2 linked regions of the Macaca fascicularis genome follow. The protein of the gene in region 2 purifies or fractionates together with the protein of the main gene of each other region. This does not show direct contact. Links are inferred from orthologs where the notes say so. Each region holds a gene or a part of one and is shown on either strand. Other genes may lie near its edges.

The links.
Region 1: the proteins of DDB1- and CUL4-associated factor 8-like protein 2 (region 2) and CUL4A purify together in Homo sapiens (affinity purification with western blotting; 3 studies listed by BioGRID and IntAct, with this or other methods). This does not show direct contact. The link is inferred for Macaca fascicularis from reciprocal best matches to the Homo sapiens genes DCAF8L2 and CUL4A.

Annotation. Positions count from the first base shown.
Region 1 is NC_088391.1:103,655,873-103,659,372, reverse strand, and holds part of CUL4A (cullin-4A), read right to left. Parts: intron 2,394-3,500; coding exon 2,275-2,393; intron 1-2,274. UniProt on the Homo sapiens protein: Core component of multiple cullin-RING-based E3 ubiquitin-protein ligase complexes which mediate the ubiquitination of target proteins. As a scaffold protein may contribute to catalysis through positioning of the substrate and the ubiquitin-conjugating enzyme.
Region 2 is NC_088395.1:27,734,689-27,738,796, reverse strand, and holds the start of DDB1- and CUL4-associated factor 8-like protein 2, read right to left. Parts: upstream 2,801-4,108; 5' UTR 2,743-2,800; coding exon 862-2,742; 3' UTR 1-861.

The DNA.
Region 1 (3,500 bases), on a different chromosome or scaffold from region 2:
AGGAACTGAATACAATTATTGGATTTAAAAAATGTGTCTCAATACAATGCACACGTGCACTCACACGTCACACACACACACGAGGTAGCTGGCCGGTGGAAAGATGCCAACAGAAGGCTGGGCGCTGTGGCTCATGCCTGTAATCCCAGCACTTTGGGAGGCCGAGGCGGGTGGATCACGAGGTCCAGAATTCAAGATCAGCCTGGACAATATGGTGAAACCCCGTCTCTACTAAAAATACAAAAATTAGCTGGGTGTGGTGGCGGGAGCCTGTAATCCCAGCTACTCAGGAGGCTGAGGCAGGGTAATGCTTGAACCCAGGAGGCGGAGGTTGCAGTGAGCTGAGATCATGCCACGGCACTCCAGCCTGGATGACAGAGCGAGACTCTGTCTCAAAAAAAAAAAAAAAAAAAAAAAAAAAAAAAAAAAGATGCCAACAGAAAGGGCACAGCTTTACTTTGATAACGGCATGTGGAGTTGAATGGAAACCACTATTTTGTTATAGCATAACTGCTTACTGCTGACACTCAGGGGTGACGGTCACTCACTGATTTTTATTACCCAGACTGGAAATTGCAAAGGTGAACTTTTCCTAGTTTTTTAGCACATATTCTCATCCCCTGAAGACTGTCTCACTGGCAAAAAACCTAAATCTTCAGTAGCTTTATGGCCAATTTAGTGTGACTCAGTTGTAACTTCCAATTCAACGTCGCTGTACAAGACCTTGTGGGGAGAGCTGCTAGGTGTGCCGGCTTTGCATAGCTGGACTGATACGTGACTTGAGGTCTGATTATTCCATAAAGCAGCACGTATGCTTTCATTTATCTTTTTTACTTAATGGAAATCTTATGAGATAATGAAAGTGCTGCATAATAGTAAAAATAGCAAAGCAATCCCAGTATCTTTGTTTTCCATAGTTTCCTCCAATGGCAAGTTTGCAAAACTACAGAACAGTATCTCAACCGGGATACTGACACTGATAACCCCCCAGGTCTTTTTCAGATGGCCCAGTTGACTTGTAACTCATCTGGGTGTGCACATCTAGACCTCGGCCAAAACCCCAACAGTTCCTGCAGAAGGCTACCTCCTGGGGCCTTTTATAACCACACACCCCGCTCCATCCCTACACCCCGGTAACTTTTCATCTGTCCTCCATTTCCAAATTTTGCCATTTCCAGAATGTTATGCAATAACATGTTAAGTATCTGCGATTGGCTTTTTTTTTTTTTTCTCTCAGCGTAATTCTCTGGAAATTTTATCTATCTTTTCATTCTGGGATCTAAGAATAGTCACCAGCAAGCACACACACAGACTCCTGCTAAACGCTCACCATTTAAGCTGGAAAATTCATGCAACTGGCACATACTGAAAACACGAGTTATCTGTGAAGGGGCCCTGATGTTTACCTCAGTTCTCCTGTTTCTGTAAGGGGCATCTGGAGAATGGCTTCTCATTATAGAGGGTCTTCAGTAGGTTTCTTGGGCTGGGCAACACTGGCACTCTGGGCAGGTGATTCTCTGTGGTGAGGGCTGCCTCGTGCATTCAGCAGCACCCCGGGGCTGCCCAGCAGAGCAAGCAGTACCCTCTCTGTTCAGACAGCCACAAACGTCTCCACACATCAACAAGTGTCCCCTTGGTGGGGTGGTGCCCTGGGCCGAGAGCCCCTAGTCTTCAGGGAGGTCCTATGTCAGCACCGAGGGGCTGTTCTCCTGGGCAGGACACGTGAAAACTCAGGGTACTGCCCAAGAAGCCACTCTATGACGGGTTAGATTGGGCTTGTCAGGGATGCCAAAGAAATGCTTTCGAAACATGAAAGCGAAAGTTTAAGTAACAAATCCTAAATTTGGTCTGTTAAGAAATAAAGTCTATAAAGCTACCTAATATGCCAAATAGATAATAGTTCTCACTGAGCTAAGGGCATGAGGAGATCTTGTCTGACAAGCAGATTTACAAAAATGATTACTTTCAGAAAAATCATGATTTAGAATTAAACCAATATTTACGCTGATGAAGAAGAGCAAAACTGTTGATCTTTAAGTTATACTTTCTACCTGGATGGTGCTAATCACTGCTGGTGTTATCTTAAAAAGCAAATTCACACTGGTGATGGGGAAGCAGATAGAACACTACCATCCACCCTATCATCTATGATGAAAATGCCAACCGGCCCTCCAGCAGCCCAGTTCCCTTTGTCAGGGCACTGGGTGTTCTCAGGAGGGGCTCTGCTCCCTGCAGGAAACGCCCGCGCCTGCGGCCTCGAAACCCCACCAGTACCTTGATGTACTCGCTCCAGTGCTGCAGCAGCGCCTGCTGCCCGCCCCTAACCCGGCTGAACAGCTGGTACATCTGCGCGAGGTCCGGCACTCTGTTCTCGTCCAGTAAGTGGTCAAGCCCTGAGATGTGCAGTACACGTCAGCAGAGTACAGCATGGGCAGCATTAACAACAATAACTCAACTAGAATACAGCGTGCAGGGTAAGAACGCCAATACACCGCTTAGAAACTGGGCGGCTCTACACATCACTGCCTGTATATGAGAAGGTTGATCTGGTTAAATATCTGAGATGGATCCTATTAGGTGAACCTCATTTTTTCTGAGCATGTTGGAAGATGTATTTACTTCTTCATGTCACTGAAGCCCTCTTATTTCACTAAAGTTAGCAAGTCAGAAAATCCAGTTTACACCAACTATTTAACCTGGGAGGTTCATGTTCCCAATATACTTCTAATTTAGTCCATCAGCCAGACAATGTAAAAGGACAAGCTATCAAATCTAATTTATAGTGGATTAAATTTATTCACACCTAAACTATAAGAGAAAAATATCATCAGATATTTTGAAGTATTTAACACAGCATTTAAAAAAGTTTTCAGTGTTTTAGATTTTTAATGTTTATAAGGGTTTTCTAAAACCATACCTCAATTAGAAAAACTCTCATAGATTTTCTAAATACTTGCTTTATGGTAACTATTGAGAGGCAGCCAGGTTAGAGCACAAAACAGTGAACAGTCATCCAATTCACAAAGTCTCAGATTCTGCCCACAATGGGCCCGATGTCCACACAAATGAGGTGGTTTAAAGATGTGTGCAAACATACGGTGGGGCTATAATTACAATTCTTTTTTTTTTTTTGAGACGGAGTCTCGCTCTGTCGCCCAGGCTGGAGTGCAGTGGCCGGATCTCAGCTCACTGCAAGCTCCGCCTCCCGGGTTCACGCCATTCTCCTGCCTCAGCCTCCCGAGTAACTGGGACTACAGGCGCCGCCACCTCGCCCGGCTAGTTTTTTTTTTTTTTTGTATTTTTTAGTAGAGACGGGGTTTCACCGTGTTAGCCAGGATGGTCTCGATCTCCTGACCTCGTGATCCGCCCGTCTCGGCCTCCCAAAGTGCTGGGATTACAGGCTTGAGCCACCGCACCCGGCCTACAATTCTTACCTAGAGTTCCAAATGTTTATTTCTCTCAGTTACATTCTGATCTACTGACACAAACTTTTTGTACTT
Region 2 (4,108 bases):
GGAGGACTTCCTGGAAGGTAACCCTGTAGGAGTTCCCAACCTTAAAACTTTAAGAAAACTTAATGCGCAGAGTAAACAATGTCATGTGATCAAATTTAATTTAATTCTTACCAGCTACAGTGTACTCAAATTTTTAAAAATTAATATATGGATTCAGAAAATGTAGACAATCTCATGTTATTTATTCTGAGGGAATGAATTATCTGGTTAGGAATTAATCTACACACTACTTCTTCTCTTTTCCTTTTCTGAGACTGTGTGTGTGCATGGCCAAGTGTTAGGAATTAATCTGCACACTACTTCTCTTTTCCTTTTCTGAGACTGTGTGTGTGCAGCCAAGTGTCAGTATCGACAGAACAAAACTATAGTTTGTCTTATTTTACTTCTAAAGAAGAAACATATTTCTGAAATTTTCAGGTTAACTGAAGAACTTGATCTTCAGAAAAAATTGTTAAAGATGAAAAAAAGTAAAAAGGTAACTGTTTTCAGAATGTCAGATTTGAGTAGATGCATCTAATAAGGGTATTAATTTTTTCAACAAAATTCAGAAAATCTAGAGGTCAACTATAAGGGAACAAGGGAAAAGAGGCATAAATAAGTTGCGTATGCACTCATGTAAGAATAAGGGGTAACAAAAGAGGCATAAAGAAACCAAGAGGAAAGGAATGAGAGAAGGAATGTATGGAAGAAAGAAAGGAAAGCAGAGAGGAAGGAATGGAAGAGATGGTTTTCAGCATATATTGTGGAAATTAGAAGACAAAAAGCAAATCTATTAATCTATTGACAATTCTAAATTAGTCAAACTGAATTTTAAAGTCCAGTGTACTTAGGTGGCATCTAGCTGGACTGGGTATGAGGCCTTCAGGATGGCATGCACTGCACTCGGTCTTGGCCCTCCTCCTCGGATGTCTCTGAGGTGCTGGAAGACTCATCCGATTCTTCATCTGGAAATTCGGCTTCACCACTTCTCCAGCCCCGGTGATGACCTCTCTGTGTCAGGTGACGCATGAGGAACCAAAGCATGTACTGGTCAAACAGGCTGGCATGGTGCAAGCTATCTTCATCTCGTTCCCACTTGTTCTTCTTAATCACCTTCTTTAATCCAGTAAGCTCAGTGGCAGCTTTAGCTGTGGGTGTCCAGATCTTCACATTATGATCTAGGCCACTGGTCGCCAGCACAGGTAGGTAAGGGTGGGGTTCAAGACAGTTTATTGTACCTTCTCTGTTCCCCTTTAGGAACTGGATGATCTGGCAGGATGATTTCTCCCAGAAGAAGATATGCCCGCAATCACTACCGCTCACTACAAACTCACTCCTGGGGCCATAGAAATTAACACCTTTGACTGTGGTATTATTTCTGTGCCCCTTAAATCTCTTAGTGTATTGAGCACCATCACTGTGAGAGGAGTCGAAGAGGTAAATATCTTCATCATTGTAGCTGGCCAGAAGCTCTGTGCCATCGTAACTGTACACAACACAGGTGATGTTTGTTGGGAAAACACAATTAACCAGATGATGAGGAGTGAATTTCTTGAGCACTCCATTGTTTTCTTTCTCATCAATTCTCCTCTGGTCATAAATTCTTACAAACTGATCTTGTCCGCCCACTGCAAATTGGTAGGTATTGGCGGGATTCACAGTAATTGTATATAGTCCCACTTTCTTATCCTTTTCTCTTGTTACCACAACTTTTGAAGCTGGCCGGTCTTGTCTGAGGTCAATGGTGAAGACAACAGCATCTTCACCTGAAGTGAGGAACTTAGAAGGAGAGTCAGGCACCAGAGCCAACTTGTGGGCAGGTCCCCTGTGCTGGGCCACACACTTAGTATTCTCGAAATATGATGCATTAATTAGTTCTGCTACCCGTACCTGCCCATCACGGGCACACATGGCCAGGGTGGAATCACCACAATTAGGAAGGAATTTGGCCTGGAAGACATTATTTGTGTGACCACTTTCAAAGTTGAGTACTGGCCTCTGCCGTACCCAGTCCCACACTATCACCTTTAGATCATCACCGCTACTGGCCAGCCGGGTGCCACGCTGGTTAAAGTGTACAGTATTGACACAACCGACATGGTCTGCAAGACGATATTGCAGGCGGAAACGCTGCACAAAGGCTCTTGCCCCACAGGCCTCATATACAAAGCGGGGACGTGAACCCAGCTGCCGCTGGTGAAGAGCAGTAACGACCTGCCAGCGAGGTAGGGGCAGGGCAGATGTCTCTGAGGAAACCCACTCCTCCAGCGCCCGATCCTCCTCTAACAAGTACTGCTCATGGTTGGCACCACTGCATTGTGGACCCGCCCGAGGCTGTTCTTCTTCCTCCTCCTCCTCCTCCGCCTCCTCCCCTCCCTCCGCCTCTTCCCTTCCCTCCTCCTGTATCTCCTCTTCTTCATCCTCCCTTTCTGTCTCCTCCTCTCCCACCAAAGGGTAATGGAATAAACTTTCACCACTCATGAGGAAATGCTCAAAGTCCTCCATGCTGTCAAGTTCGATGTCTTCACTTGCACTTTCTCGGTCTGAGCTTCGATTTTCTGTGCCGACATCGTTGGGGAATCCACCATCCCTGGTATCACTGTCATCTCCGGTCATTGTCACACTCTGCTCTGAGGTCGCTATGTCAATGTCTGAGGAGTCCTCTGTCGCCGCCACTGCTCCAGACTGCTCCTCTGGGCTGCTGAACAGGCTTTCAGTCCCTAAGTCTGGTAAGCCATCTGTGCTTCCCTCTTGGTGGGACATCTCGAACGATCTTTGCTGTAGTTGATCTGGAACTGCAAAGGCCAGGCCCCTAAAAGCTCTGGGAAGAAAGTTGGCCTGCGGTTAGGACTGATGGTCGTGAAGGAAGTAAGCGCGTGGCAATCAAACGCCAATCTGATTGGCTAAAGGGGACAATAAACTATTCTGCCAAGGCAGTTGCCAGTATGGGATCCCATGAGGTTCAGAAAGCTTCTTACCTGCTCGCCTCCTCGCAGCATCCAGATTGCTCTAGGTTTCCCAGGCCCAGAGCCCCACCCCGACAGGCATCTTACACTGTGAGTAGCTGCGGGTTTTTGAAGATGAAACTTGCTGCACCTTGGAAAATGTTCTTATTAGAGAACCATGAGCAAAAGTGATCCTCTTTAAGCAAAATAGTTTTTAGAAGCCTCTCAGTGTTTTGCTTGAAGGTAATGTACTCTATAAAATGAAGATGTAGGCAAGAACAGTGAAAAGTTAGCTAAGTGTCCCACAGCTAGTGACTTTTTGACATACAAGAAATATCTTAAATCGAGCAGCTTGAGGGAAACCTTGAGTGCTCTAACTGGTAGAATCGATATAGGGTTGCCAGATAAAATATGGTATGCATAGTTAATTGCATTTCAGATGAAGGATGAATACTTTTTTTAGTATGAGTAGGTCTCAAATATTACATTAGATATATTGCCACTAAAATTTTATTTATTATTTATCTGAAATTCAAATTTAACATGGTGTCCTCTATTTTTATTTGTTAAATCTGGCAGGCTCCTTTAGTGAAAAGAATTTAGACCCTCAGTGTAATGAGGGCTGAAATCAACTGATCAATTGAAAGTGGACATTGAAATGAGTAATGGCTTCACCTATTTGAGATAGAAGTAGTACTTCCTTTTTTTCTTATGCCACTAGAGTTCTTATATATTTATTTAGAGTTAATTCAATTTAAGATACTTAGGGAACACCAACACAATTTTATGGAAAAAGAAATTATGTGATGTCATAGAACTATAAAATCTCTTACATATCACCCACAATATGTCAGAGGTTTCTGTGGGGCCTCTAAGGAACAGAAAACAGCTCTACAGAGACAGTTAATTGGCATTACTGTGTTAATTTAATAGTTTCTGTGAATGAATTATCTAAGGTGATGTCAGCATATTTTCAAAGGGCTACAGTAAACTGCTAACTAAGAATGCCAGAATGAGGAAAACAAAGTTTCCCTCAGAGTAACTGCAAGATAAATGCAAAATTGATTAAAAGTAGAAGTACACAGTCTTCTAAAGAAAGCGGATGGTTCCAAGGCCAATAGTAACAGAAAGATATGTAAAAGAGTATTCATAGCAACTTGTAAAGCCTAGCACAGCAAACTGAA